3 linked regions of the Daphnia pulex genome follow. The protein of the gene in region 1 interacts with the protein of each later gene in a pairwise test. Links are inferred from orthologs where the notes say so. Each region holds a gene or a part of one and is shown in the gene's direction. Other genes may lie near its edges.

Evidence for each region.
Region 2: the proteins of merlin-like (region 1) and scaffold protein salvador-like interact in a two-hybrid assay, tested with the Drosophila melanogaster proteins (2 studies listed by BioGRID). The link is inferred for Daphnia pulex from reciprocal best matches to the Drosophila melanogaster genes Mer and sav.
Region 3: the proteins of merlin-like (region 1) and serine/threonine-protein kinase Warts-like interact in binary tests that used the Drosophila melanogaster proteins (3 or more experiments, as listed by UniProt). The link is inferred for Daphnia pulex from reciprocal best matches to the Drosophila melanogaster genes Mer and wts.

The regions. Positions count from the first base shown.
Region 1 is NC_060022.1:2,535,570-2,546,061, reverse strand, and holds merlin-like, read left to right. Parts: upstream 1-3,490; 5' UTR 3,491-3,710; coding exon 3,711-3,797; intron 3,798-3,860; coding exon 3,861-3,990; intron 3,991-4,056; coding exon 4,057-4,262; intron 4,263-4,317; coding exon 4,318-4,442; intron 4,443-4,509; coding exon 4,510-4,612; intron 4,613-4,707; coding exon 4,708-4,917; intron 4,918-4,983; coding exon 4,984-5,090; intron 5,091-5,163; coding exon 5,164-5,293; intron 5,294-5,363; coding exon 5,364-5,495; intron 5,496-5,558; coding exon 5,559-5,810; intron 5,811-5,870; coding exon 5,871-6,187; intron 6,188-6,249; coding exon 6,250-6,409; intron 6,410-6,467; coding exon 6,468-6,518; 3' UTR 6,519-6,828; downstream 6,829-10,492. Other genes in the region: N-acetylglucosaminyl-phosphatidylinositol de-N-acetylase-like, read left to right, coding at 1,534-1,769, 1,860-1,969, 2,117-2,210, 2,288-2,387, 2,453-2,549, 2,625-2,755, 2,828-2,935; ATP-dependent RNA helicase DHX8-like, read left to right, coding at 7,128-10,136, 10,201-10,466. UniProt on the Drosophila melanogaster protein: Regulator of the Hippo/SWH (Sav/Wts/Hpo) signaling pathway, a signaling pathway that plays a pivotal role in organ size control and tumor suppression by restricting proliferation and promoting apoptosis.
Region 2 is NC_060028.1:79,742-90,289, forward strand, and holds scaffold protein salvador-like, read left to right. Parts: upstream 1-5,636; 5' UTR 5,637-5,770; coding exon 5,771-5,864; intron 5,865-5,947; coding exon 5,948-6,180; intron 6,181-6,306; coding exon 6,307-6,507; intron 6,508-6,682; coding exon 6,683-7,199; intron 7,200-7,256; coding exon 7,257-7,831; 3' UTR 7,832-7,903; downstream 7,904-10,548. Other genes in the region: RNA-binding protein Rsf1-like, read right to left, coding at 106-707; carbohydrate sulfotransferase 11-like, read left to right, coding at 1,552-1,668, 1,740-1,888, 1,944-2,121, 2,181-2,732; uncharacterized protein LOC124209131, read right to left, coding at 3,110-3,496, 3,560-3,901, 3,971-4,989, 5,061-5,169; uncharacterized protein LOC124209127, read right to left, coding at 8,237-10,548. UniProt on the Drosophila melanogaster protein: Plays a key role in the Hippo/SWH (Sav/Wts/Hpo) signaling pathway, a signaling pathway that plays a pivotal role in organ size control and tumor suppression by restricting proliferation and promoting apoptosis.
Region 3 is NC_060026.1:6,944,929-6,955,523, forward strand, and holds the start of serine/threonine-protein kinase Warts-like, read left to right. Parts: upstream 1-5,263; 5' UTR 5,264-5,612; intron 5,613-5,869; 5' UTR 5,870-6,019; coding exon 6,020-6,232; intron 6,233-7,697; coding exon 7,698-7,767; intron 7,768-7,882; coding exon 7,883-8,679; intron 8,680-8,756; coding exon 8,757-9,062; intron 9,063-9,127; coding exon 9,128-9,247; intron 9,248-9,308; coding exon 9,309-9,572; intron 9,573-9,643; coding exon 9,644-9,829; intron 9,830-9,895; coding exon 9,896-10,112; intron 10,113-10,173; coding exon 10,174-10,286; intron 10,287-10,358; coding exon 10,359-10,439; intron 10,440-10,504; coding exon 10,505-10,595. Other genes in the region: probable ribonuclease ZC3H12C, read left to right, coding at 1-230, 297-436, 505-2,108; uncharacterized protein LOC124206172, read right to left, coding at 2,672-2,916, 2,991-3,268, 3,345-4,144, 4,209-4,237, 4,316-4,470, 4,545-4,685, 4,746-4,838, 5,057-5,232. UniProt on the Drosophila melanogaster protein: Negative regulator of Yorkie (Yki) in the Hippo/SWH (Sav/Wts/Hpo) signaling pathway that plays a pivotal role in organ size control and tumor suppression by restricting proliferation and promoting apoptosis.

The DNA.
Region 1 (10,492 bases):
TAGGAGTTGGACGTAACACGCCCCTCATGCATCATTCAAAAAAGTCAAGTATATTACCTTTGTAACGTTGAGGCTTATAGAGTAGACTGTTAGATATAATATAGTGACGTCAAGGAGGCAAAAAAAAAACGAACAAATAAAATGTTTACATTTTAAGCTCTCCAAACTGTCTGGAACAAACAATAGTTTACTTTAGCTATTAGCCTTTTTGACACCTTATTGACATAGCGTCATAGCATTCTCTTGTTTTCATGTGATAACTTAATCAATAACTTTGTATGTCTACAGCAGTCCCTCGTGAACTCAAACTCGCAAGGCTCTAGCGTTTATCCGTTTTTAATTCTCCGATGGCATTATACACATCGCCATATTTGTATTGTTTTTAGGTTATAGCTCACGTATTTTGAAAATGAAGTTCAAAGTATTACTTAACCAGTTTTAGCTTGTTTCACCTTTTGATATAACAATTTAAAAGATGTAAAAGATTAAGGCGATGACAATATCCAATTACTAAAGTATACAGAGACAAAGAAGAAGTTGGGTTGTACTTTTTACATCACCGCTGGATCCGACTGGATCAGCAATCACTCGAGTTATTGCATCAGGGAAAAAAGGATAAGAAAAATTGTATATGCCTACTATTTCTATACTGTGCTGTTGCCTAGCGACAGCAACGAGTTGTCAGGGTAGCTTTTTTAATCTTTTACAGCACATGACTGTTTTGATCCTAACTAGATGCTTTGATACTGTTAGGACTACTTAGGAAGGCGAATTACTCTTGTGTAAATACACGATTAGCTAATGCAGTCATTAAGAAGTTTGCTCGCAGTTTTCCTTGAATGTAAATACAATGTTTAGCATGAAGTGGCGCTGCTTTTCCATAACATACTCAGACTCCTGCTGCACATTTCTGATCTTTATAGTCAAGAAGCGCCCACGACTACTCGTTCTGTTTCATCTTTCACCTGCTTTAGTAAACATTTTGATTATCAAAGGATGTGGCGCATAGTCCATAACGACAACAAAGTGCGAGCCTATAAGTCTATAACCATGACAACACACGGAATATACTGTACCACTGTACCTTGTCATAATACGTGATTTAAAACGTAGCTACATTAGTAGTCTGTAAATAATCGTTAGCTGTTTGTTTGAGAAATTTCATCTGCAACGTTGCTTCTGCTTCGTTAATTAGAAGAGAATTTGTTGATTGTGGCAACTATCTTTCAAGTTAAATAAGCTTACAGGCTTACATCACGGCCAGTAGCTCTTCATTAAGTATACCGGCCGGCATATTATCTTGATGTAAATTAGCAGAAGTAAAACGTGAAATTGAGTTGCAAGATAAGCTCATAATTTTTTGGTGCTACTAGGATAATTATTTATTTGTGCTACTAGGATAATTAAAAGAAACTTTGTGCGGATTAGCATGGTCTATTTTGTTGTTGAAATAAGTTTTCAAATTTTCATTTTCTTTATTTTCACATTAGGCTAAAGTCGCTAAACAGCTAGCAGGTAGCAGCTGTAAAACGAATGCTGTCGTCTGCTGTAGGATTGTGTATTTTTGAATTTCGAAGAGCAATTTCGGCTTATCTACTTATATTTATTTTTAAAATGTGTTGGTACTTACTACTTATACTAGGAATTTGGACTTTCGTTTCCTTTTTCACTTACCGATATTTGAGTCAAAAGAAAAGTTTGTTTCTTAAAGAAGTTTTCTTTAAAAAGCTTAGCAATGTCTTGTTCGTCATTGCTCATCCGGACGACGAGTATGTTTTGTTAATTGAGATATACATTTTTATGGAATACCTTAATCTAACTTTTTTTCTCTTATGCACTTATGAATGCATGTATAATAGATGCATGTTTTTTGGACCTGCCATCACAGCACTAGTCCAACCATCATTAAGTGATTCTTCGTCCAGGAAAAAGAAAGCAAAGGATATTTACATTCTTTGCTTGAGTGATGGTAAATCAATACTACATATCACTATTACTATACGCTTACATGAACTATAGCTTTTTCTTTGGACTCATATACTTGTCTGTTCGTTACTTGTGCTTAAATTCAAACGTTATAACAATATTTCTAATGTGTGAAATTCACTATTTCAAGGCAATGCTGATGGCTTAGGTAAAACAAGGAGAGAGGAACTAAAAAAAAGTTGCAAGATTCTTGGACTAGCTGATTCCAATATTATAATTCACAGGTAAAAATTCATTCAAACATTCATAAATTGTTGAAATTTCTTAAATTTTCTTAAATTTCTACATTATCTGTGAACAGTGGACCTCCTTTCTTTGAAGATGATCCACATTCTTTGTGGGATTTCAAATCAGTTGCAGATACTTTGAATATCTACATTGAAAAATTGAAAATTGACAGTGTAAGTATTTCAGGAATAGATTAATAGGCTTAACTAACAATACAATTTAATGCAATTTTTTATAGCTCATAACTTTTGATGAGAATGGAATCAGTGGCCACCTAAATCATAAATCGATTTATCAGGGGGTGTTGCAATTAAAGAAAGAAAGCAAAAAAAGAGGTATTTAAACTATATTATAGTGTGCATAATTAAATGTATTGATATTTAAAAGATCGTCTTTAATTTTTCCAACAGTTACTGTCCGAGTTTTCATTTTGGAAACGGTCAGTTTGTTTCGAAAATATTTGGGATTTATTGATTCGATTTTAATCAAACCTAGTGCATTAATCTGTACTGCCGATTGGGTTAATAGGATGAACATTCAGGTATTTTTTTAAACAGTTAATAATGTCAATTAAGACTTTTGCTAAATAAATTAATTATGTGTTCACGTTTAGAGAGCAATGGCAGCTCATGCTAGTCAATATGTTTGGTTTCGCCGTTTGTACATCATTTTTTCAAGATACTTATTCTTTAACACATTCATTCCCCTTGAAATTTACTAGCTTAGCTACTGCTTGTTGTCTCAGATATGCACCTGGAAGTGCGGTGGTTGGAAAATTTAAATCCTATCGATTCGATGCATTTTGGACACGGGTAAATTTACTCAGATTTTTTTGATCCCTTCAATTTTATGGATGTTTATAATTCCCTTAACAAAATACCTAGTCTTTTCTCTGGAGTGTGTAACATAAACAAAAAAGGGTATGTTGGCTCTTGTTTTTTTTTCCCTAATGAATTCTCACACGTGGCTGCTGTGTTTAACTTTATTGCATTTACTAAACAAAATTTAAAATATTGATGTTATCAGATGTTAGTGGTTGAAGTCAACAGTGCACGTAATGTATTATTTTTATTTGAATGAAAATGCAGTGAACAATAATACAATTTTGAAATTCGTCATACTCCTACTATACATGTATTCAACTATTTTCTAAAGCATGACATTTACGCTGTAATTTTGTGACGACCAGACATGAAATGTTTCTTTTTATAAAACTGAAGAAAAAAAAACGATTTCCCGCCAGTAGTTTCATGTTGTCCCGCCAGGGTCCAGATGGCTGTGCACTGTGGCAATAGTCAATAGATGGAAAATCCCATCGTCTGCAATCAAGCCTGTTTTTGTTCATTTTCCGTTGTTTTGTATCAGCTGAAAGAACAGTATTTGTTAATTCTGTGTTGATTCTACAAATGGAATGAATCAAAATGAAGACGTTTTCTAAGTTTTATAAGTTTTTGCATTAGATTTGTTTGATTAAGTTTAGGTCTCGGTGTGCTAAAATGAATTTCCGCCGGAAGCACAAATCGTCAAAATGTTTTCCAGTAAAAATTCTTACCCTAGACGCACAACTTGAATTCAACCTAGAGGTTTGTATTATTTATTCACATAATCATGTTCATGTAAAAAACTGACAATTATAACTCTTGTAGTGCAAAGCAAATGGAAGAGATTTATTTGATCTAGTGTGTCGAACTATTGGATTAAGGGAGACCTGGTATTTTGGGTTACAGTATGAAGACTGCAAAGGATTTCTGGCGTGGTTGAAAATGGATAGAAAAGGTGAGTGTTAATGCTTATTATGTGTCATTCACCTAATAACTGTTTGTATGGCCATAATATCTATAGTTCAGGACCAAGATGTGCCCAAAACAACTCCTGTGCCTTTTGTATTTTTGGCTAAGTTTTATCCCGAGAATGTGGCTGAAGAGCTGGTTCAAGAAATAACTCAACATTTGTTTTTCTTGCAAGTAAAGCAGAGTATACTCAACATGGATATATACTGTCCTCCTGAAATATCAGTCTTGCTTGCTTCATATGCTTTGCAAGCCAAGGTAATATTATTATATCTTGGGTGATTTTCCACAATTAATTTTTCCTTCCCATTAGTATGGTGATTATGATGAGGCAGCCATGAAACCTGGTCTCCTTGGTACAGAAGACTTACTGCCTAAGAGAGTTCTTGATCAGTATCAAATGACAGCTGAAATGTGGGAAGAAAGAATAAAAATTTGGTAATAAGGATCATCATTTCCATTTTAACCGTTTTATAGACTTAAGACTTTACTTTATGTTATATAGGTACGCGGATCATAAAGGTCTCAGTCGTGATGAGGCTGAAATGGAGTACTTGAGAATCGTACAGGATTTAGAAATGTATGGCGTTAACTATTTTCCTATAAAAGTGAGTTTAGAAACCCTAGCTAAAACTAAAATGCGTGTATATCTTGCATATTGTTAACTTGTTTTAATCTACAACTTATTATTCTATTTGAACAGAATAAAAGGGATTCCGAGTTGTGGCTTGGTGTTACGGCCCTCGGTCTGAATATTTACGAGCAGGATAACAAATCCGTACCGCGCATTAACTTTCCCTGGTCAGAGATCCAAAACATCAGCTATGACGACAAAAAGTTTGCCATTAAACCAGTCGACAAAACTGCACCCCCTTTTATTTTCTATTCGGATAAGCATCGAGTCAACAAATTGGTAATCCATGATTTTTACATAAATGAAAAAGGATAGCGAATTTTATTTCCGCATTTTTATGTCTAGATCTTAGATTTGTGTATTGGAAATCATGATCTCTTTATGCGTCGGAGGAAACCGGATTCAATTGAAGTTCAGCAAATGAAGGCTCAGGCTAAAGAAGAGAAACTCAGGTAAATTTGACCTTGACAAGTTTTGTCTTATTCATTGTTGAGTTCTTATTGTGGTTACTTTACCGTTTTTCAGACGACAGAGTGAAAGAAATAAGCTTGCACGAGAGAAGCAACTACGCGAAACAGCTGAACGTGAAAAAGCAGCCCTAGAACAACAGTTAATTCACTTTCAGGAAGAATTCCGTGTAGCGAACGAACAGTTGGTATGATATTCTTCAGTTTAATTTTTAGTTTTAGTATCAAGTACAGTATTTCATTATACCAATTTTGTAGAGGCGTTCCGAAGAGTCGGCTGAGCTGCTGGCCGAAAAGGCGCGAGTTGCAGAAGAAGAGTCAATGTTGTTAACTCAAAAAGCCTCAGACGCTGAACAAGAGTTGCAAAGAATTCGTTTATCTGCCATGAAAGTAAGTGAATTTTTTCATAACTTATTTAGGTAGCTTTACATTTAATTGTCTTTTTGCGTCTAGACCGAAGAGGAAAAACTTTTGTCTCAGAGACAATTACATGAGGCGAAGCAAATTGCCTCAAGGTTATTAGAGAATTCTGAGCGTTGTGCAGCAGAAGCAGAGCAGCTAAAAGGTGACCTTTTGCAGGCCCGTTACGCTGAAACTCAAGCCAAAAAGAAGCTACTAGAGTTTTTAACAACACAAGCTAGTGTTGCAGCCTTACACTCGGCATCTCGTCCAATTACACGCATCCCGTCGTCCGCGTCTGTCCTGGTACTTTGCAGTTTCTGTCAACATTTTAATGAGCGAATAACTACAATTACCATTTTTCAGTCTGTTCCCAACTTGTTTCCGACATCAAGTTCGTCGGTAGCTGGATCAGACCACCATTTACATCATCAGTCGGACATTCAGCAACATTTACGACGACTCGACGATGTCTCTAACGAAGCAAGTTTGCCGGCTTATGAGGCCCGCCTTCCTATTCCGCTGGCTAATCAGCTTACTGGCCTCACCAACTTAACTGGCTTAAGTAGTAGTGGATATCTATCAGCTATTGCTGCTTCCGAACTGGTCAACTCTTCATCCAACTATGACCTTATGACACATGGCGATATGGAGCAACTCTCACTTGAAATTGAGAAAGAGAGGTTGTAAATCTATCGTAGGAATTGTTGCGTAATTGTTTGCTCATTTTTTAAAATAAATTTAGAGTCGAATACTTGGAAAAATCGAAGCAACTGCAGGAGCAACTGAGAGAATTGCGTACAGAGATTGAAGTCTTGAAAGTAGGTGAAAAACAAACGCTTTACGATCAGCTACACGAAGAGCAACTCCGTTCAGGGGACGACAAATACTCAACTCTCAAAAAGGTACGCATGAATGAGAGTCATTAATTCAAATTTGAGTTAATTTTTCTTTTTTTCCTAGTCAAAATCTGGATCGACTGGAGCGCGCGTGGCCTTTTTCGAAGAGCTGTAGCTTAAGTCATATTTTTAATTTTACTTTTGACAATGTGTTGTACATAAATTTTAAATTGGCTGACCATTTTCATGGATGCAACTTAGTTTATAATCTTTAATTCACTAAGTTGCCCATTTTCGTGAAATCTTATCATCATAGACATTAGACAAATAGACTTTCATTTAAAAAAAACTTAACTCTTGTTGACTAATGAGTAATGTCTTTTACTAGTAGCAGCATCGGCGTTGTTTACATTCTTATATGAATTTTGCAAAATGAACCTGTATGTCTAGAATACCAATTCAATATGAACATGGAAAAGTTTCATTCAAATTCAAACACAAAATGCAGAGAACCGAGAAAGATTAGATAATTCTTCATTTCAATCTGTGAAACGCAAAAGTTAACAAATTCATTTCGAAAAAATGTAAATATTTTTTGCGCGCAATGTTGCCAGTTCATCTATTAATTTTGATTTTTCTTTTACAGCATTCTTGCAACGTTGTCTTAACAACGAAAGCATTCGTTTTTTCGTCGGCTCGTCAATTTCCACATTCGTCGCCATCCCAATTGTTGTGCTGTCAATTTGTAAATGATTTAATAAGTGGCAAAATATCCTATATCATCATGGATGAATTAGAGAAACTCGAACACCTGTCGCTTGTTTCTAAGGTGTGCACAGAATTGGAAAACCATTTGGGACTCAACGATAAAGATCTGGCAGAGTTCATCATCGCATTGGCCGAAAAACACAAGACCTTTGATGAGTTCAAAAGTGTAATGCTGGAGAATGGCGCCGAGTTTTCAGACTCTCTCATTGCAAATTTGCTTCGTCTTATCAAACACATGAAATCAGCCAACTCGAAAACAACTGATGTGAACTTAGCCCAGGTAAAGAAAACAGTTTACAATGCAGAAACAGAGAAGAAACGGGAACTCTTCCCTGGTCTTGCCTTAGCAGATAACCCTAAGGCAAGAACAATGCTTCTCGAAGACATAAAATTGACTATTAAAGATGTTGAAGAAGCTAACGATTTAATGGCTGAACTAGAAGCCATGGCTCCTAAAGAAGAAAAGATTTCTACTGAAGCAATCGAGCCTGTTCAGGAAAGAGCAAGGAGTAAAGACAAGAAGGAAAGAAGCAGACGTTCAAGAAGCAAGGACCGCAGCAGAAGATCAAGAAGCAGAGACCGCAGCAAGAGATCCAGAAGCAGAGACCGAAGTAGAAGGTCAAGAAGCAGAGATCAAAAGAGGAGATCAAGAAGCAGGGACAGAAGTCACAGGTCCAGGAGTACAGATAGAGGAGATCGAAACAGAACAAGTGATCGTCATCATGATAAAAGAAGTAACGAAGGCAGACGAGAATCCCCAAGTCGAAAGAAACCTCAAAAAGATTTTCCAGAGAATCCAGAAGTGGGAAATGTCTACGCGGGAAAAATCATGAATCTTGCAGCTTTTGGTTGTTTTGTACAAATTGAAGGAATACGGAAAAAATGTGAGGGTCTAGTGCACATCTCCCAGTTGCGACGAGAAGGCCGTGTGAATAGTGTGGCTGAAGTTGTCAATCGTGGAGATAAGGTTCATGTCAAAGTTATGAGCATTGCTGGCCAAAAGATCTCTCTTTCTATGAAAGATGTGGACCAAGACACTGGCGAAGATTTGAACCCAGCTCCTTCGACGTCAAGCCGCCCTGGACTAACCAGCCAGGAAAGTGAAACAGCTTTAAGGAATCCAGATCGACCTCTCTCATTGCTAGATTTGAAGGCAAATGTAGAGGAGGATGAACTAACCAACCGCAAGCGTGTGCAACGGATTTCGTCTCCTGAACGCTGGGAACTGAAGCAAATGATGGCAGCAAATTGTATCGACAAAATGGACTTGCCCGAATTCGACGAAGAAACGGGTTTACTGCCAAAGCTGGCCGAAGACGAAGAAGATATCGAAATCGAGTTGGTGGAAGAAGAGGCACCCTTTCTTCGAGGTCACGGTCGAGTGCTTAATGAACTTAGTCCGGTTCGTATCGTCAAGAATCCCGACGGTTCTCTAGCTCAAGCCGCCATGATGCAAGGCGCTCTCAGCAAAGAACGCCGCGAACAGAAAATGTTGCTCAGAGAAGAACAAGAAGCAGCTGACGCACCGGCTCAAGGCGCCAACAAGACCTGGATTGATCCCATGCCGGATGCTGGGGCTGCACCGTCAACGTCGTTGGGTCGCGGAACGGGAGCCCCTGTATACGACATGCCCGAATGGAAAAAGCACATCACTGGTGGACCGAAAGGAGCCTCTTTCGGCAAGAAAACTAGTTTGTCCATCGTCGAGCAACGTCAATCACTTCCCATCTACAAACTCAGAGATGAACTGATCAAAGCTGTCAATGACAACCAAATCCTAATTGTCATCGGTGAGACGGGCTCGGGAAAAACTACGCAAATCACTCAATATCTATCCGAGTCCGGATTCACGGCTCGTGGAAAGATCGGCTGTACGCAGCCTCGTCGTGTGGCCGCCATGTCCGTTGCCAAGCGAGTTTCGGAAGAGTTTGGTTGTCGTCTAGGACAGGAAGTTGGATACACGATTCGTTTTGAAGATTGCACCAGTCCTGAAACTTTGATCAAGTACATGACGGATGGTATGTTGCTGCGTGAATGCTTGATTGATCCCGATCTGCAATCGTATTCCTGCATCATGTTGGACGAAGCCCACGAAAGAACTATTCACACAGACGTTCTTTTCGGTCTTCTCAAGCAAGCCGTCCAGAAGCGAGCCGAACTCAAACTCATCGTAACGTCGGCCACTTTGGATGCCGTGAAATTCTCGCAGTACTTTTTCGAGGCGCCCATCTTCACCATTCCGGGTCGAACTTTTCCCGTCGAGATATTGTATACTCGGGAACCTGAGACGGATTACTTGGATGCCTCGCTCATTACCGTCATGCAGATCCACCTTAACGAACCACCGGGCGACATTCTTCTTTTCTTGACTGGTCAGGAAGAGATCGATACTGCCTGCGAAATTCTATACGAGCGCATGAAGTCCATGGGCCCTGACGTTCCTGAGCTCATCATTCTTCCCGTCTATTCCGCTCTACCGTCTGAAATGCAAACTCGAATTTTCGAACCGGCTCCACCAGGCTCCCGAAAAGTTGTTATCGCCACCAACATCGCCGAGACCAGTCTTACCATCGACGGTATCTACTATGTCGTCGATCCTGGTTTTGTCAAGCAGAAAGTCTACAATTCCAAGACCGGAATGGACTCTTTGGTGGTGACACCCATTTCACAGGCGCAAGCCAAGCAGCGAGCTGGTCGCGCCGGTCGTACTGGACCTGGAAAGACTTACCGCTTGTACACGGAGCGAGCTTATCGTGATGAAATGCTTGCCACGCCTGTTCCCGAGATCCAGCGTACTAATCTCGCTTCCACTGTCCTGCAACTCAAAGCTATGGGCATCAATGACCTGCTCAACTTCGACTTCATGGACGCTCCTCCTGTGGAGTCACTTATCATGGCACTTGAACAGCTGCATTCCCTTTCCGCTCTAGACGACGAAGGATTACTCACGCGTCTTGGTCGACGTATGGCCGAATTTCCTCTGGAGCCTTCTCTCTCCAAGATGCTCATCATGTCTGTTCACTTGGTATGATATTATCAACAATTGTTCCTGATCGATGTAATTGACGTTTTAAAAATTTTTGTTTTAGATGTGTTCGGACGAAATTTTGACAGTCGTGTCCATGTTGTCAGTTCAGAACGTCTTCTACCGACCCAAAGATAAGCAACAGTTGGCTGATCAGAAGAAAGCCAAATTCAATCAAGCCGAAGGAGATCACATCACTTTATTGGCCGTTTACAATTCCTGGAAGAACAACAAGTTTAGCAGTGCCTGGTGTTACGAGAATTTCGTTCAGATGCGTACCTTAAAACGAGCTCAGGATGTTCGTAAACAGCTATTGGGCATTATGGACAGGTATGTTTAGTCTTTGATGCAAATTG
Region 2 (10,548 bases), on another chromosome or scaffold:
ATTTCTCTCTTTCTTTCACGATTTTTGGGGTTAAGTGTCGCTGTCTGTTTTCAGGAGACAGGAACAGACGTTTCTCATTTGTGTGTTTGTTTTTAAATGGGATACCTCGGGGGCGATGAATTGCGGTGATCCTCGCCGCGGCTTCGTGAACGATCCGACCGGAAGTTGCCACCATCTCCTCCTCCTCCATATCCGCCGCGTGAACTTCCGTAGCCTCCTCCACTACCACCTCGGGAGCCACCTCCTCGCCCACCCCGATAACCTCCTCCGTCACGGTCGCCGTATGATCCACCTCGGCTTCCACTGAAGCCTCGACTGCCCCCGCGATCCCCACCCCGGAATCCGCCCCGGAATCCTCCTCCACGATCGCCTCCTCGACCCCCACGGCCGCCACGTCCTCTGCCACGTCCGCGGTTGGGAGAAATTTCAACTCGGATCTTGGAGCCCATGAAATCGGTGCCGTTCATGCTGGCCACAGCTTCCTGGGCGTCGGATTCGTCTTCAAACTCGATAAAGGCGAAGCCGGGAGGATTGAACGCCACCCAGGCACTCGTCAGCTTGCCGTATTTGCCAAATTCCACTTCGAGATCTTCCTTCTTGACGTTTTCCAGAATGCTGCCAACGTAGACTCGATGGCTAGTGGACACTGCTCGACCACCACGATCGCCACCGGCATCTCTCTCGTCTGATTCGTAATCTGAAGTCATTTCTGAAATTCAATAAACCAGGAAAATTAGAATGGACGAAACATGTTAAACTTAGAGCTTGTGCATTTTGGGAAATCACGATTTGGAAATTTGACGGGACTTTTGGGGAAACTTGGAATCACTATCAAGTGAATGCAATCCAACCCAACAAGAAAGGCAATTTATAAGAAACAACCCTTTGTGGCGAATGCCTCTCCTTGAAAATCAATAAAATGGCCACCCTTGGGGTGTTGGTGGGACACAAAAAGCCGATTCGCCAACAAGACTTGAAAAATTGATATTTAAGGGAAATTTGCAACTCGAATAATGATCACACCGCTACAAGCAATCTTAATAATTAATAAAGACAACTTGAAATCACAAAATAGTTATTTACTTGCCTCGTTTATTGGAAAAAACAGTCCCTCGTATGTGAAAAGAACGCGAGCTGTATGAACGACGCAGCAGACTTAAAATTGAGCCTCACTACTAACGAAGGCCTTTGAAACTAGCAGCGTGCTCTGAATCGAGATGGCAGTAGCGTTCATGGCGGCCAAATTTACAACTTTTAAAATTTAACATCATCTAATTAAAACATTTATTTGTGCATTTGAATTTAAAAAAATAGTAATAAAAAGATTAAAACCATTTAGAATTCAATTTAAACCTCGGTAACATTAAAAAAACAACTTAAAATTCATCATTGGCGCTAGTTGACAGACACACATCTTTCCAAAGAAAAACAAGGCCCGGCATGTGTCAAAACCATTTAACTAGTGACTGATTAAAAATGCAAACCGATAAAAACCTGTTTATCCTCAGGTAAGAGAGCCAAATGTCTCGCTCTTTTTCAGTGTCGTAAAATATGAGACTAACGCCTTCTCGTATCGTTTACGCTTTTCTTTCCGTCACAGTTTTCCTGCTCCTCCTCAAGTCATTGCACACAATCACAAATGGATGGACTCACTCGTCAATTCCGATGGTAATACCTCACTCAAATTCTTCTCTCACCTGCTGTAAATGTTATTAACAAACATCAAATTTTGGTTAAAGGAGGAAATCGAGCAGAGAATGTCCCGGAGGCTAAAACAGGTTGCCGAAACCTGTGTCAAATACAACATCCAACCCAATTCAATCAACATTGCCGATTATTCCATCCCGCATCCGCCAGCGCCGCAGTATAGTGTCCTCTACTATTTGCAGTAAGTAAATTGAATTCATTTAGATCAATTCCTTTGATTTAAAATTTGTTTTCAGTCCTAGGAAAAAGGCGGTTTACTGTCCAATCTACAAGGCCGCTTCCACGTCGATGCTGCACTGGTTACTGGCCATGAAGAATATCGACGGTGAATCGGAAATGAAGAAAGGCCATCGACAAATCAGCCAAGTCGCACGCCAGCAATTCCCATCGATTGATTACCCCGCCGCTGCCGAGGTAATTAAATAATTAAACTACTTAAACTAATTCAAATTAAATCGTTACACAATTTGCAGTTGATGAAAGAGTCCAAAAAGTGGATGGTGGTCCGCCATCCATTCGAGCGAATCCTGTCGGCCTATCGCGACAAACTGGAGAATTCCACCATCCACCGAGAAGATGGCACGCTCCATTTCTACGAGAAATACGGCCGCAAAATCGTCGCAAAGTACCGCGGGAAATCTCCAAAGGAGCAGAACGACGGTGAAAGGATCGAACCGACTTTCCAGGAATTTGTCGCCTATTTGATCAACACGGATTTAACGCTCTACGCCGACGACCACTGGATTCCTTACTATCTCTTCTGCACTCCGTGTCTCATCGATTATGACGTCATCATCCAGTTTGAAACGCTCCAGGAGGACGTCCAGTTGTTGCTCAATCTCCTGGGCGAAAGCAGCGGCCCACTGCGCAAACACTCGACGACACTCGGTCGATCTAAAACGGAATTGATCAAATCTTATTACAGCCAACTCGACCGGGAAACGATCCTGAAACTCTACGAAAAATACAAAATAGATTTCGAATTGTTTGGTTACAGCATCGACGGTTATTACCTCTCTACTTAATGCAAATAAAATCTATTTATTGAATAATTCCACGTAAAATGTAATTCATTTCCGTGTCGTTGAAAAAAGGACCGATAAACAAATTTTTACACAACACGAAGGACATTTTGCTTTTAGACGCTTGAAAAAAGAGACAAAATTTGAAAATTTATTTTTAAAGTTTTTGCACGATATCCCCTTCTCCATCTCAAAATAGTTTTAAAACATTTAGACCGATGCATTTGTGAGAATAAACTTAAATTCTAAAAAAAAAATTGATATGACTCGATCCCGAACGAAACGACCCAAATAAAGTGGGGGGGAGGAGGAATGGAATGTGGGTTTGTGTGTTTTCACGCGTGAAAGGAAAAAGAAAAAATGCCCTCTTATCTTTAAATTTACTGAAGTAGATCGACTTGTCGATTAGTCACAGACGAATTAGTCGCATTATCTTGTAGATGCAAGTGTTGGAAAATGTCACTCAATTGGTGATTATTGTGACGGACGGGTAGTGCTGGTGACTGGGCAATAGGAGCCACTCCTGGGTTGCGGAGTCCTTTACCCTGAGGTGAAAGCAATTCGCGTTCAATCGTCTCCAAAATGCTGTCGCTCGTCGTGTTATTGGTAGTGGTGGTGGTGACAGGTACGGCGGTGGCGGATGATGATGGATTTAAAAAGAAATCCAAATCTAATGTGACTGCCGCCTCGGTGAAACTTTCACTCATCGACGCCGATGGCGAATTGACGCTGGGTGGCGAATTCCAACGGAAACCACCGGCATTCCCCTGTTAATCGAGCTCATTTTAAATAACTCTTTGGTAGTGAATGAAATATAAATTAATTAATACCTGGAGAACACTGTCGATGCGGAGTGAGTGAAGGAATCGCTGCTGAGCTGCCGAATGCCTCCAACTAAATGACAGCGCCGGTGTAGAGTCCAACTGACTGACATAAGACCACAAGGAACCGCCAGGAGAATTCATCAATGGAATGGTCGACGATTGTTGTTGAAGTTCCGAGTCGGTGGAGGCTGCTGAATTGACCGGAAACAAGGTCGTCAACATCCGCTGGATGTGAGTTTCAGGTGTCGCCGCTGGCAATTCAACTACCGGCGCGCTATCCGTGCAGGGAGCTGCTTCGAAATCATCAAATTCGTCATCATCTTCTGTAGCCACAGCCTCTAACGTCGCCTAAATTAATTAAATTAAATTAAGAAATAATTTCAACTAATAAATGAAGTAAAATCTAAATTTTTTTACTGTTTGAAAATCGGTAAAATCTCCAAATTCTTCGACGTCGCCATCATCGACTGGTAAGTCGATCGGTTCCGTTTGAAAATCTGAAAATTCCGGCTCGGCCGTTTCCACATTTTGATGAAAAACAAATTCGTTTTCATCCTCTTCTTCTTCTTGGTTTAATATTTCTTCTTCCACCTTGACGACGTCATCCAATGGGTTCATTTTATCCACATCGAAACAGACAGTCGTTGAAAGTGGATCAACTACTTCCAGTGGTTCATCCCAGTTGATTTGAGGCGAATCCGTCGAGTCACTCATGGCGGCAAAGTGGGGCTGTTCCATCTCGTCCTGCTGATCGAAACACAGACTAGAGACTCCCGGAGAATCCAGCGTGAAAGGTGGGACGGCGTCTAAACTGAAAAGATCCTCCACAACAGGTGGATGATTTGATTCAGAAACTGATGACGCCTGTGTGAAATCACCAAAGTCATCATCGACTTTGGAGTTTGTCAATTGATCCAGTGGTTGCAGAGTAGGGGGTAATTCTAATGAGACTTGTCCCAATGTGGAGAAGATTTCTTCAACAATCGGATGAGGAGTCTGCTGGATGGGTGAGAACACACTGTTGATTGCAAGAGGTTGACAATTTATCGGTTCAGCACTAGTAAAGTTTGTAAATTCTTCTTCCTCTTCGACAACTCCATTAGACTCGTCTTGCTTCTGACTGATCCACGATAACTGGGACACTCCTGTTAAATCTTCCTCAAGATCAATGTCATAATTGGGCTGGCATTTTTTCAGACTTCCTTCTGGTGGAAGGCTTATATTACTATTACTATCAGGTGTAGCAGGCACAACCATGGAAAACTGTGAAGCGTTTGCCACAATAGGTCCACAAAAGTCACCAAATTCATCATCAATGTCACTACTATCAGGAATGGGATTGAAGAAGACACTGCTGGTGGGCATTTTGGTGTTGCTTGATGGATGATTCTGCACAGGCAAACTGACCTGAAAGCCAGGTTCCCCGTTGCAATTTCCTGCAACGAAATAAAGAAATTACAAATTCAACGCCATTGCTTGCAAGCCATGTAATGTTCAATATGTATACCGATTGTGGGGTACGTCACAGCACTTGTGAAATCACCAAATTCATCATCTTCATTACTAATATCATTAAAAGGGTTTTTCAACGGGCCGGAATACGAAGGAAAGGCCATGGCTAGTCAGAATATTAAGCAGTGAGAAAGGGAAATAACACTGTGTGATGTGAGGCTGCATTAATGGGTCAAGAAACTTGCACGCATATACAGTGGGATTGAACGAAATCCTTAAAGCACAAACTATTTTACGAAGGGTAACAATTAAAATTTTCCATTATCAAGGTGATTCAGGTCATCGTTTTTACAGATTAATATTTTCCTTTTTATTCGAACAACGGGAGAATTTTCGTTCGACTTTTACAGACGAACGTTTAAGGGGAAATCAGCTGACAGGTATTGGCCTCAATTTCATCAAGCTCTAATAATTCAATTAAGCTTAAATTATAAATTAAACATTTGAAATAGGCTAAATTTTTAATTCAAAAATTAATGATATAATTTAGATAAATATTTGAGAAAAAATATTTAACCGAAAATGATAAAGATTCAACCGTTAGGTGGCCCTCTAACGTTGGAATGCGCCCAAAAGTTTTGTTTTTTCACCTCCGGCAAGGGGGTTTCAAGTGGAAAACCTCGTCAAGTGTGTGTTGATTCATCAAGATTCGGAAGCTCTACTAAATTTGTAATCGTTTCACAATTTACACAAGTCACAACGGAAATGTTGACGAAGAAAAAGGATCCGAAAACTTGGAATTCGAATGGAACTACGACGGGGAAATACCTAAAGAAAGAAGCGCCTTCAGATGTGCCAAGTAAATACATATAAACCAGTTTGCATACCGTTAAAGAATGTTTTGGTCTAGTTAACAAACGGAATTCTTTTGTCATTACGTAGTCATCAACGTCTGGACCTCCACTAGAACTGTTGATGCTTTGAAGAGCAAGTCCCAGGCAGCAAAGAAGCTGAGCGGCTCGACTCAAAGTTTGGAAGTAGTGTCCAACATAAAACATGGTGGCAAGCAGCAAATTCAGCAGGGTTACGAGGGAAGGTACATACCTGCCAGCGAAGTCAAAGCTGAGCAGCAGCAACAACAACAGCAGCAGCAGCAACAGCAACAGAGTCATTTGGTAGGTAGACGTTTGTTTGTGTGTTTAATGGTGATTTGTTTACGGCATGTTTGCTTGCATCGGCACCTGGCTTGAGTGAATGTTCACATCCTTGTTTGTGTTGCACGGCTTTTGCCCCCAAATTAGTCTGTCTCCTTTGATGAGGCCTACGCTGATTACGCCGAGGTATCAGAGAGTGATTCACTCTCACTGGCAAGAGGCTTGGGCCTTGAGGGGCATATTCTGATGAAACCGGGGTCTGAGCAGTTCCCAGCCAACTCTCCTTTATGCCACCAAAATACCCAGGCCAATCCACTGAAACTCGTTCTGGTTGATCCTGATTCCCAGGTATGGCTTTCCTCATTTTTGCTTTTCGTTTGTCTTTTGTTTGTTTGTCTGCTGGTTCGCACACACTCTCTCTCTCCTTGGTCTGGCTGGAAATGAAAGAATCTTTTTCCTTTTTTTATTTTATTACAATTAAATAAATTCGACTAATTGTTATTTTAATTTTTGAACAATTTAGCTCAGCTCAATGCAGGCAGCTGAACAACAACAACAGCAGCACATTTATCCACTTTATCTCTCTGCTTCTGCACGTGAACAGCAGCAACAGTTGTTGGTCTTGCAGCAACAGTTGGCCCAGTTGAGGCTCAGCGTCCAACAGCATCAACAACAACAACTCCACCACCAACAGCAGCAGCAACAACAACAACAACATTCTCCCACCTACGCCAACATCCCTCTTTTGCTTTCCAGCAGCGTCAGCGCTTCCCAGTCTTCGCTGGCCAGTAACAGCAGCTCCCAACAACAGCAAGAGAATCCCGTCTATCAGAATTTGAGTAAATCGACGACCGCAGGAGCTGCTGGACCTCCAGCGTCGTCGTCGACCAACACGAGTCAGGATAGCGGTTCGGAAGAGTTTCCTTTGCCACCTGGATGGTCGATTGATTACACGTTGCGTGGCAGAAAGTATTACATCGATCACAACACGCAGACGACTCACTGGTCCCATCCGCTGGAGAAAGAAGGATTGCCCACTGGTATAACATTTTTGATTTTAAATAAGGATTTTAATTTATTTTGTTTTATCATTTCAGGTTGGGAACGAGTCGAGTCGAGTGAATTTGGAATTTATTACGTCAATCACACGACCCGCCACGCCCAGTACGAACATCCGTGTGCCCCCCGTTACATCACGTCGGGATCCTCTTCGTTGGCGGATGCACAAATGCGTCCGTCGAGACCGATGCCTCCGGCTCCACGTCACACGGAATTTCACGCTCCACCGCAAGTGCTGGTCCCGGCCAATCCTTACCTGTACGAGGAGATCCCTTATTGGTTGCAGTTTTACTTTCGTGCAGCCCCCGAACACGACCACAAATTGCGGTGGGAGCTGTTCCGGCTGCCGGAACTCGACTGCTACGACAACGTCCTCAAACGTTTGTACAAACAGGAACTGGAGACGATTGTGATGAATTACGAGGCGTATCGGTCGGCCATGGCTCGTGAAATGGAAAGGAGAAGAGCCGAAGGGCACAGCAGACACTTTCCTGCTCAGCAACAACAACAATCACAGCAACAACAACAACAAATGTTGCAGCCTCCTCCACCACAGTCAAGAAGTCACCTGAAAGAAAAAGCTTTGGCTGGAGATCTTGAAACGAAAGTCTAAAACAAAATTTTTTTTTTTTTTAAAGAAGTGCACTTATGTTTGTTTGGGGTTTTAATAAATTGATTGACAGAAGATGATATTTAGGTGAAATTCCATTTTAAGCATAAGTTAAATGGCGTAAATTTCAAATCATGTTTTGGGTTAGAGTAAATCTTTTTGAACACATTTTACCAATTTTTCAGAAGCTTGCATTTCATTGAAAAAAGAACTAAGAAAATTATTTCTGAATGTAGTAAAAGCAGCGAATCATCGTCATCCTGTTGGCAAACACTCCAAGGAAATGCATTCTAAAAAGAATTAAAAATTGAATAAATATTCTGACTTTTGACATAATGCACGAAGTATTTTATGTTCAGGTCAAATGTAAAGAATTACATAGCTGTATGTACCAAAGAAAAAATGCGCCTATGAATCCAACATTTGAAGAACATCTGCGACCTCGTCTTCTTTAAAACGCTCTAAAAGTAAGGAACGTGCAGTCCCAATTGAACCATCAGTCGTCTTTACTTTTTTGTCGACTTTGTGCTGAATTAATATCGAAACGAGGTCAACCAAAAGTTTTTTAGGCGCATAGTAACACACGAAATGAAGAGCATTCCATCCGTTGTTGGTTTTGCAGTTGACGTCGATATTTTTCTCAATTAACAATCGGACAATGTCGATCAAATTTCCTTTGTCGTAATGTCGACACAAGATAAGGAGGGCATTCCACCCGTCGTTTTGTTTGCAGTTGACGTCGATATTTTTCTCAATTAACGATCGGACAATGTCAATCAAATTTTCGTTCTTATAATGCCAACACACGAAATGGAGGGCACTCCATCCGTCGTTTTTTTTGCAGTTGACGTCGATATTTTTCTCAATTAACAATCGGACAATGTCGATCAAATTTTCTTTGTCGTAATTTCGACACACCAAAAGGAGGGCATTCCATCCGTCGTTTAGTTTGCAGTTGACGTCGATATTCTTCTCAATTAATAACCGGACAATGTCAATCAAATTTTCGTTCTTATAATGCCAACACACGAAATGGAGGGCACTCCATCCGTCGTTTTTTTTGCAGTTGACGTCGATATTTTTCTCAATTAACAATCGGACAATGTCGATCAAATTTTCTTTGTCGTAATTTCGACACACCAAAAGGAGGGCATTCCATCCGTCGTTTAGTTTGCAGTTGACGTCGATATTCTTCTCAATTAATAACCGGACAATGTCAATCAAATTTTCGTTCTTATAATGCCAACACACGAAATGGAGGGCACTCCATCCGTCGTTTTTTTTGCAGTTGACGTCGATATTTTTCTCAATTAACAATCGGACAATGTCGATCAAATTTTCTTTGTCGTAATTTCGACACAACAAAAGGAGGGCATTATTTCCGTTAATGTCCTTGCAGTTGACGTCGATATTTTTCTCAATTAACAATGGGACAATGTCGATCAAATTTTCTTTGTGGTAATGTTGACATAAAACAAAAAGGGGAAACGGATCCCATACTTCTGGGATTTTTTCTTCAACTAACAGGCGTATGATGTCTATCATTTTTTCTTTTGGATAATGTTGACAAACATTCAAAACTGCATCCCACCCCAAAACCCTTTTCGGTTTGTGGTGAACAATGATCGAAAATTCATTTGCGCAAGTTTCGTGGTATTCGTCAAGTGCCGTCATGGCAAAAGCGAATTTCTCGTCGTAAAATTTGGCATTGACTACTTCGGCAAAGATGACTATCTCCTTCTGGATCCGTTCAATGACGGAATTATTTTCACACCAAAGATCTAAGTTTACAGTATTCTTCCGTAATGAAATTTCATTTAAAAAATTCGTCCCGAGCGTCTGATTGAGTTGATCCAAAAAAAGTTCTGAGTGAGCCAAGGAGGAGAGTGAAATTTCGAAACCAAAATCAACTGGAAATTTGGTCATTTGCGTTAGCAGTGTTTTCGCAGAAGGGAAGAAATGAACTTTGCTCTGCTGATTTCCTAATTTATTTTTAGCTTCATCTTGAAATCTTCGGATAATACAAAGTTCCTTGTGTTTTTGATCCAGCCATTGCTCGAGGCGATTGGAATTAAACGTGAATTGTTCATTGCTGATTCGACTCATCAGCTGACTGAAATCTTCTACTTTGATTTTGCCGCTGCGAATGCCGACGACCATTTCTTTCAATTTTATTTTCAGTTCGGCAATGAAAGATGTTAGGCATCGCTGGAACAGTTGGAGCTTCTTTTGAAGTGGATTTAACTTTTTTACTAAAGGGTCTTCAAGCATCAGAACAAGTGTACCTTCCACTTCGCCGTAGTTATCCATAATCAGGACGCATTGAGACGCCAGCGTAACGCTAATTTCGTATCGAAGAGCCGGAGCTCCTTGGGCATCTTGCATCAACACCAACGGGTAGAGCCAAACTTTAATGGGCACGCCAAGCGACTTGCTTACATCCGCATCGTCTTTTGCCATCCAATCGGATGAAAATTTTAAGAACTTTTTGGCGAACTCGATGGCTTCATTGTACGTTGTTGGACGATCCACGTTACTGGGCAGTTCGAAATCGCCTTGAAAATGACATTCGATGCTATCCTCGTTCTCTCGATTTGTGTCGGCCCAACTACCTCCAACATTTGCGTTCCCTTTAAGAAATTTGGTAAATTTATCGACATCTAATTTCAGCTTTCCGTTGACTTCTTGTTCGTTTTCTGTTTCGCTTAGTTTTTTGGTGA
Region 3 (10,595 bases), on another chromosome or scaffold:
GGTTATACCGAGCAGCAAGTTCAAAAAGCTTTGGTCAAATTGGGGCAACCAACCCAGAATGAACTTTTGGCCGAACTCATTCGTTTGGCATCTCTAGCCGGACCAGGGTCGACGGAAGGAATCGAATCACAGTCGGATTGTGTTCGATCGCATCGTCCATTGTCCATCACTAGTTCAGATGAGGCGGTGCTAAGGCATGTCGTCATCGATGGAAGCAACGTAGCCATTAGGTAAATTGGTTGGCTCATTACTGCTAAAATAACACCAAACATTAATCTATTTTTGACCATAAACAGCCATGGCAACAAGGAAATTTTCTCATGTCGAGGAATCCAGCTGTGTGTAGACTGGTTCCGCGCCAGAGGTCACCGTGAAATAACCGTCTTCGTTCCCATGTGGCGGAAAGAAACGTCTAAAATTGACGCGCCCATAGCCAGTAAGTTCATTCCTCCTATTTGCTCATGTTCGTTTTAATCTAAATGATTCTTTTTTTTTAATCATCAGATCAAGAGATTTTGCTGGAATTGGAAAAGGAACGAATGCTGGTTTTCACTCCGTCAAGGCAAGTCGGTGGCCGTCGTTTGGTTTGCTACGACGATCGGTACATTTTACGATTGGCGGCCGAGACGGACGGCATTGTCGTATCCAACGACAACTACCGCGATCTGGTGTCTGAAAACCCAGAATATCGAAAGATAGTCGAAGAGCGCATCCTGATGTACTCGTTCGTTAACGATCGGTTTATGCCGCCTGAAGATCCTTTGGGTCGTAATGGACCCAAGCTGGATCGCTTCCTGCGCAAACTTCCAGCCAAGGGATCCGCAGAAGCTACTGCCCCTCCGTGTCCGTATGGCAAAAAATGTACCTATGGAAACAAGTGCAAATATTATCATCCGGAGAGAGGCAATGTCCCTCAGAAAACCATCAGCGAACGGTTGGCCGAGCAGACGGTGGCAAGAAAAATCCGCGAATCTTCTCCGACATGCAAAACGTTTAGTCTTCCGTTGACGAAAAATTTTGCCAGCCCAACGGCCGGCAAACCGCCCAGTCCTGTGAAGAAAACGCCACTCGCACGGACGAAATCAATCGTGCCAACACTGTCACTTCTTCCTCCGGAATTGACTGAAGAGAGACCAGTTCAAGACGGCCCTAAGCCGGAAGAGGCCGACACAAGGGCGCCTATTCTCAAGAGCCGCAGTGTAGAAAACATGGCCCGGCTTTCGCCAGTTCGGTCAGTGATCCAAGCACAACAGCAAATCCCTCACGGTCTAATGCTTCACGCTCCTCCACCCGCTTTCTCCGTCCCTCCGCCACCAATGACCATGGATGGATTCGGAAGCAACAGTATTAACTGGAACAGAAGCGGACATGTCCCCTTGGGCCAACAGTTATCAGATCCGCCCTCCGTGACTTCTTCCAGCGGGGTAGAAGAGCCCGACGACTCTGCTCGACCTAATCCGCACCGGAAGGTTCAACGTCAGCTGACATTGAATCCATTGAACCCAGCATGCGATCCGCGATTGTACACCTTAAAGGGCTTGGCTCCGCCTTATCCGCCTCCGCCCATTTCCGTCCATTCGATCGTCACTCGCAACGCATCCGCTCCGGCACCAACGTCTCAACTTCACGCTCGCTCCCATCCACATGTGCAACCCGCAGGATCCAACAATCACATGCAACGACTGAACAGCACATCCGACACACAACTTAATTTATACGGGGCTGCTGCTGCTGCGTCGGCGGCCATGCCCGGCTCGCAAGACTGGAGCTCACAGGGTCTGACAGATCCTTTTGACGAATGGACCAACTCTCCTCCTCCGCCATTACCACCCGTTCAGCCGTCTCAACACATGCATCAACAACAACATTCTTGGGCCAGCCGAACTTCCAGTCTGCCAGCTCATCAACACCTGTCTTCATCGCCGGTGCAAGCCTTCAACGAGAACGGGCCCAACAGTAAAAGCGAAGCACGTTACAAGCTCTTTTATCACTTGGCTGCCATCTTTCCTGAAGAGCAGGTGCGACAAGTGATGTCACTGATGCCTGACGAAACAAACGCCCAGAAAATCTGCGCTGCCATTTTGGCACTGTACCCCAAAGACAATTAGGTCGATCGGCATCAATTAAATGCGTCAAAAAGTATGTGCGTCCTATTTCAAGTGTCTGTTCCCCGACATCAGTATTCGATGCTGGGGATTCAAGATCGTCCTGAAGAGAAGTTCCTCCGTGGACTGTCAAATGCCATTAAATGTGAATGCCACTTTTGTTTAGTGACTTTGTTTGACAGTTTGGTTTGCCTCTTTCCATATGTTTGGCTCTTTCAAGTCTTGAACTTGACGAGAGCGTCGAAGAGCTCAGTTCAGTACTTGTCCAATCCTTGTTGAAAGCGGCATTGTATATTCCGTGGATCAAGACTATAATCGTTTATTTATCCTGGAAAAATCTCCGCTTTTGGGTCAAGTTTTATTTACTACGATACTGTGTATCGTGGAAGTCTATATAATTATCTATATATACTTGGTATGAGGGGTTTTCACCCTGTCTTTCTCTCGTTCTCTACAAATTTGGCTCTCTCCTTCTCCTGTTTACTTATTTTTAAAAAAATTTCGACAATGTATTATGCCCATCTTGATTGAATTAAAATCGATACACATTTGCGTACAAAATTAATTTATTGTGTTTTCGCTACATGTCCGACTGGACCTTCTTTGGTCAGGCCGCCTCTTCGTCTTCGCTTGCGCAGTAAAGAATTCCAATCGAATCGCTCTCCAGTTCGTTTTGTACCGTTCACGATGCGATCTGAATTACAATCGCTAGCTTCTACTTCAACTAGTTCCCAGTCAACTCCTTCCAACTCCAGCTTATCAGTCGTGATACTCGGAAGGCTACCAATAGGGACACGTGACCAATCGTGTTCTGCCATAAACAGAAAATGAAATAAAACATTGGTTGAAAAGTTTCGGTTGCTAAATGTGATAAGGTTATTATACCTGAACACAAGGTCCATTCATCGATCACTGGGGCTTGGTCAGCTGAATATTTGTTGTCTTGAGAATGTTGGTTGCCCGAGTCCCTTTTCAATACGGGTTTCTCATTCTGTGGATTCAACATTGCGGCAGTGAAGATTTTGGAGTGAATCGTGGACTTGCCAAAAGCGGCACGTTCTGAAGGTTCGGCAGAAGTGTCTTTACCCAAATATAGTCGCAACAAAGCGGCCACTTTCTCTTTCTTCTTTGCATTTACAGGCGGATCATATAACAGAAAGACTCTAAACAAACGACAAATTGAGGGAAAAAAAAATTAATTGCACGACGACAACAAGTGAAGAGGATTTCAGTCCTTACTTGGATACAGTGTTCCAGGTTTCCGGATGAGGTTCTAGAAGAATGGCATGTGTCATTTTATCCCAATCTACAGAACGCAAACCTTCATCGAATTTGAATACATTCTTTTCGTTTTCAGGATTATTTCGGGCATGCAGCACAGCATTGGTCATGTCTCCTATCAAACTCAAGAATACTCGTTGTTGCTGATCATCTTCAACTTCGATGGTGACTAACTTGTTCATCAAGTATGGAACCGTTTGCCATTGTTGAATCAATGTCCAGATGGGTTTAAGGTTGGAGAAAATTGTGCCCTTTTCGGGTTTCTTCAATAAATGGGGACTTTGACAGAGAGCTGAGATGAAACATTTCCCTTTGAGTGCGTCGACTTTTTCCGTCTGTTCAATTCCCTCAACCCCATCAGTTTCCACCCATTCAGACAATATCCGTTTGATTTCATCAAATATTAATGCAAGGATTTTCTTTAACGGTATTGCCAATTTGGCAATTTCCTTTTTGTTCAAAGGAGTGGAAGGGATCTTGGTCTGGAGCCAAAGTTCGTAAGCGTACTGGTGAAGGTCTCGCGACTGAATTTCATTGAAAGAATTCCGACAGCCCATTTCCTTAAGAAGCACTACTAGCATAGACACGGCTAGTTGCAATTCTTCAGGTATTACTGCATGCTTGGAGGCAGCCGAACCCGTATTCTTCCCTTCCTCTGCCATTTTCGTTTTGGCAAGCATCATTCGAGATGTGGCCCTCTTGGACTCGGGCCAATAAAGATCATAGCTATCTTCTTCTTCGGTACGCCAATAATTTTCCTATTATTAAATTTGCATTCATGTCTGCGCATAAAGGAAAGTTAAGAAAAAAAAGTGTCTTTACCTTCAACCAATCCATAGCCAAGTTGGCGCCTAAGAAATTCGAGAAAAAAATTTGAGATGAAGAATTTTTAAAATTTAAGAGTTATCGTAGAAAGGCGGTATGTATACCTGGCCTCAAGATATCCAAAGAAGGCATCTTGGCGTGGGTAGCCTCGTGCCGAATACTGACAAGCCAGTCGGGAATCCCTGCCATTTCGGCAATGGCGGATATGGGTTGATGTCTTAAATCTACTTGTCCTAAATGAGATATCAAATTGATGAACCTGTGAACAAAGATTTAAATAGGTTTAAGTATTGAAAGATACTTAAACATGTAACTTAACATAGTAAGAGTTACCTAATGATGGCAGTGGAGTACATTAAAACCACATCGTTTTCAGACAGGGCACTGTTAGGATCCATCTTGTATTCCTCATCACGTAAAATTGCTTGTAACAAATACAAAGAGCATTCAACACCTAGAGATAGCTTGTCAACCCTAATAAAAAATGTAAATAAAAATTAGTTTATCAAAATTATCATTTTATAAATGAATTACCTAGATTTCCACATTGTCATTTGATTCAGTCCCGCCCATCTCTCCTCAATTTTGTTAGAGTACACTTGTTGATAAACCCGTGTCCACTCTTCCCTAAAGACAATTGTTCATGAATAACAAGCAAACTACTTTTCATAGTTATAAAATAAATATTTAAATAATAAAAGCATAGGTAATTAGGTACGAAACATTTAACATGTACGTGTACGTTAGCTTTTGGCATTTGAACCACGTGACTTCTATTTTAAATGTTAACCGTAAATTAACCTATTTGACAATTTCTAGTATTATAGAACTTAATAAAATTTTACATGGAAATCCATGGGACTATTCGTTTCGTATTGTTGGACATCAGGAATTCTGTGGAAAAATTCGAAACAAGAAATTTCGAAATTGAAAATGAATAACACACAACAGCGTCTATCAAATCAACTCCTCGTTGTTTTTTTTTCTTTTCTGTTTTTATCGTCTGCTTCAGTACCAACATTCTCCGCTAAGGGGACGCTCTCAATCAATGCCCTTGAAATTTTGTATTCACGTGAAAAAACGAATTTTTATTTGTGAAATCGTAAAACCTTTGTTTATCTTTTAGATGAGAAATATGAAACAGTTGGTTGATAAAACTTATTCAGAGAACAGGATTTGAAAGGATCACGCTCAGCGTTTGAGTTAAAGGAGCCTTTGAGGTAAAATTCTCTCTTCAAAGTGAAACCGCCAGAGGGGCAACTAGGCTTATAGTCTGCGCTGGCTTCAGTGTTATTCCGAGCTTTTTCGTGACGAATGTTGTTTTGTCCGTGTGTGGACTTAATGTTGCATCGAAATTTTAATGTTTGTTCTACGTATTATTGCTAATGGATAACCGTTCAAGTAAGTAGTAGTGCTTTTAAAAATTGAAAATCTTTCGTCAGTAAAAACTCGAGTTTTCTTTGGGGCCGTCCTGTGCTCGCTCTAAAAAAAAAAGTTCTTCCAAGATGGCGGAAAATGCCAAACAGTCTTGGAGGCTACAGTCATGGTTCTTTTTCTTTCTCGTGTTGTGATTAGTTTAGACCTGCGTGACTCACGACTGTTGATATTTTGCAAAATGTGTTTCTAGTAAATTTTAATTCTGTTGTTTGATCTTGCAGGTCTGTGATTATTGCACACCCTGACCTTGGATGAAATTTCTCAAAGTGAATGAACTCGTCAATTTATGAGTACTACAGTGAGTGACACAATGTGGATCAGTGCAGCTTTCTGGCCATGTCAGTTTCATTAAAGACTATGGGCATGCCAGTATGAGCCCTGGAGCTGAAACTAGCATGAGCAACGCAGTTGGAAAAGCCGATCGGACAGGCTATCACTTGAAAGCCCTGCAAGAAATTCGCAACTCTCTCAGACCCTTTGCCACCGAGAATGGTAGTCCTCTGCCTACCATACCTAAAGATGGACACATTTCCTACCAACAACACATTTACCCTTATTCGACTTCTTCTTCTGGATACATAGAGGTAACTTATATCAATCTCTTATGCTGTCTATGTATTATGTTTTCTATGAGATACCATACTCTTTAAGTACAGTTCATGTAACACGAATAGATTGTTAGGTTGTGCAGATATTTCAGTTGCAGTAGTTTCATGTCAAGATTAGTTTGCCCATGAAAATTATGTACCATTGCATGTGATGATGCAACAATGATAGGAATGAAATTCTCCTACGAGTCTGGCATTCTTCCGGCCAAAAGGAAGGGCAAGTTATGCCGTCGGATAGGTCCGGACAAACGGTCGTTTTTTTGTTGTCGTTTTTTTTATTCTAAATTTTTCCTCCTTTTCTTAATCTGAAAATCCCCGTACTGTCTAGTGTCCATCAGGTATATATGGAAGGAGGGGCGTTTCAGGGGAATTTTTGCGTCCGACTGTGAGGTTACTGATTGTGTTTGTTTTGAAATTTTCGCATTGTAATGAACCTCAGAGAGTTCGGTCAGATAAGAGATTTATGAAGGTGATGGCAAACCGAGCACGCGCCTGAGGGAGTCCATTACCGCGCCAAGTATTTCTTCGATGTTGGGTCGAAAAAGAATGCCGAGAGCGGCCACCCGAAAATGATGGTTGGCGTGTCGTAGCGGAAGAAACAAGAAGAAAGGGGAGGGATATGGACCGAGCAGATGGTTCGTGGCATATGCCTGTGCTGGAGGCGCTCCTCTTTTATACGACTAGACGACCGTTGCAACACCCCAAAAACTGATATCACACATACTGATTGACTAGCGTGGCTTGAGAGATGGACTCGTAACCATCAACAGGACACACAAAGAGAGAAAGAGCGACGGTGTGACGAATGGCTCCAGAATTCCGAACGCACGCCTCATTGACCTTGCACCTTAGTAGACGGAATTCCTATGTGTTCCATCAAACCACACGCACACATTCCGGGAGACATTGTATGGCCTACATTATCGATACCCGCCTGTTGAATGGCCGCACAGAGCGAAAAGAAGAAAATAAGGGTTCGGGTTTCGACCGGATCTATTCGTTTTTGCGGGATTGCATTCCTGTCGGTGTGTAGCAGAGAGCCGCCAGTTGGTCTGTTTGTGCTGGCTGCGCTACTGATGGCGTACGCTATTTGACAGCCCTCCCTCGTTCCATCTTGGTGATGGTCTACACTCTTGCACATGTGTGTGTGCCTTCAACCGAATCTGGGCTATTTTTGGGGCGGATGAGGTGGTTGGAAAGAGAAAGAGGGAGTTGTTGGCATTCTTGAACGGTTGTTAGAAACCCGATAGCTAGACCCGCTTTCACTATACACTCGTCCCTGGCCTCCTCCTCCATATCGTCTGTAATTGAATTTTTCTTTTGATGGCTGTCTTGAAAAGAGCCCTTTTTATTAGAAATGCCAAGTCGAGAATAGAAATAAACAGCTGTAGAGGCATGAAGGAAAGTTGACTTCGTTTAACCTTTTATTTTTCTGATTCAGCATGAAAATGGAAGCGACGGCTACTTACAGCGGTCCGACGGCCAAATTCTGCAACGCTCCGCTACGACAGGTGAGTCACGCAGTCAATATTTTTTTCTGATAAGATTTCAAGGGTGATTTCAAATCCGCTAGCTGATAATAATAAATTGGTCACGCAATAACGGTTATCTTTGCATTCCTCACAGGAGCGTTTCCGCCTTCATCGGGGCAGCAGGTACACCGGAAACCGAGTTTTGAGCGAGAACCCAGGAGCAGTCCGGCTTTTGATACCAGTTCGGCCGCTTCATCTAACCGTTCTGATAGCCCAGCCTATTTTAATGGTCTGGGACTCGTTCGTGGTCACGTAGCACCCGAAGCACCGCCTTATTCGTCAAGAAATGCCTACCCGTCGTCGTCAGATCCGCCACCTCCACCACCGCCGCCTCGAGGTGCCACTCCGCCACCTCCTCCTTTGCCCCCACCTCCATCGGCTGCATCTAAATCAACAAACAGCCAACATTATCCTAGCAACTTTCAACAGATGCTCAAACGAATGTCACCCGTGCCTAATGCACCACCTATTCCGGGACCCCGTGGGACCAGTCCGGCTCCAGCTCTTCCGCCCGGTCGGCTTCCGCCCCTCGTCGTTCAAAATGGACCCCAAGCACAAGCTCAGCTGACTCAGCAGATGCAAGCTTTAAACATGTACCAACAGCAACAACAATCCAGCAATGGCAGCAGCCCATTGCCACCGTCTTCTGCTCCACCCCCTCCGTATCCCACCGGATCAGCTTCTAAATTAGTGGCTCCTCCTCCGCCTTATCGAGGACCGGATAGCGGATTATCTAACCGACAAAGCCCGACGCTTCCCAGCCCAACTGGCAAAAGTCCGGCTCCCTTCCCACCACCGACCTCGTCGTCGTCAGTTCAAGCCGGGGGGAGATGTCCACCCAACCAAGCCTGGCCACCCCGTCAACCACCCATCACTGTCAAAAGCATGCAGGTATAAATCAGCTCAAATGACACTAATCAATACCGATTTTTTAAATTATTTTATTTTACTGTTTCATCAATCATCAGGTTCAGAAACCGATACTGCAAACAGCTGTAGCGCCGTCAGGTCCTCCTCAATCATCAAGTTCACCTCCACCACCGCCTATCCCGGTCCGTTCAAATCCGGCCGTTTCAGCCTCGCCTCCGCCGCCTCCGCCTCCTTATTCCTCTTCCGGCTATGCATCCAGTAGCTGTCCTTCACCATCATCATACGCTCCTATGGCCTCTCCAAGTCCGCTATCTTTTGCCAGCACGCCGTCTCCAATCCCTAGCAGTCCGGCGCCGGTCAGCGTCCCAACGACTGATCCACCAAGTTATGCATCGACCATGCAGGTATGATATAATAACTCTCCATTCCCTACCGAACCCGTTTGAACTCTATTCGATTTCCTCTCCAGGCCTTGGCTGCTCAAAGACAGCATGGGACAACCCCCACTAACGCCACGAATGTCCTTGCCGTCAATGGATATAATTTATCCGCAACTCCTCCGCCGCCCCCACCTTATCCTTCCTCTATGGTATTATTGCTTGAATCGATCGACTGCCTTATGCAAAAACTTAGCAATGCTCTCATCATAGGCAAATGGTGGAACTGGACTTGCTCAGCAGGTAGAATCACAGGGTTCACCTCACGCTCAGTTACCTCCAAAACCGGGGCAGCGCCGGTTTTCACCATTGACTCTTGAGACTCCATCTTCGCGCTCTGAGAGTCCAATGTCTTCAGCAGCATCGCAGTGTGATTCGGGACGCCATGGCGGTCCGAGCCAATCACCAGTGAGTTTTATTTCTTCATCTGCACCTTCGGAGGGAACGCAAGATTCGGGACTTGGAATGAGCACTAAGGTATGTTCAGTTTGAAAGACATATCTATGTTTTCTTGAATCATGACACTAATTTATTTTACTTTTCTTTAGAACGATTTGAATGGCCATAGTGCACCGTCCAGTGCCAATGGGGAGGATGGTAAAGATGACATGCCACCTCCTCCGCCTCCCCCTTACAAGTTGACGCATCAGTCACCCATCCCGGAACGTAAACATATCTCACGAGAAAGGGAAGAAGAAAGGCGAGAATCTAGCGTACGCAACTATTCACCCCAGGTATGACAAGAATGCTCAGATCGGTGTAGATTTGCAATCGTCTTATCTCTTTATCGCGATATCCAGGCCTTTAAATTCTTCATGGAACAGCACGTTGAGAATCTTCTCAAGTCGCATCAACAGCGAATGGAACGTCGCATGCAATTGGAAACTGAGATGAAAAAGATTGGTTTGTCTGAGGAGGCTCAATGTCAGATGAGGCGGATGCTATCACAAAAGGAATCTAATTACATCCGTTTGAAGCGAGCCAAGATGAACAAAGCCATGTTTTTGAAAATCAAAGGTGAATATTATAGATTTGTCTAATCTTGAACCTTTAAAAGAAATATGTATTTTCTTTTTAGCAATTGGAGTGGGAGCATTTGGTGAAGTGGCTTTAGTACGTAAGATTGACACCAATAATCATCTCTACGCTATGAAGACGTTAAGGAAAACAGATGTTCTTAAGCGCAATCAGGTAAATTTGATTTTACATATTTCACAAAAATAGATTTTTTTTAATCACTTACTTACATACTTTTTCGTTAAGGTGGCTCACGTCAAAGCCGAACGAGACATTTTGGCTGAAGCCGATAATGAATGGGTCGTCAAGCTCTACTACTCGTTTCAGGTATAACTTTATTAAACTTTTTCTTAGTGCGCTCAATCTAAAATAGGTTTTTTTCTGCACTTTAGGACAAGGATAATTTGTATTTTGTGATGGATTACATCCCTGGTGGCGATTTGATGTCACTTCTAATCAAACTCGGGATCTTTGAAGAACCTC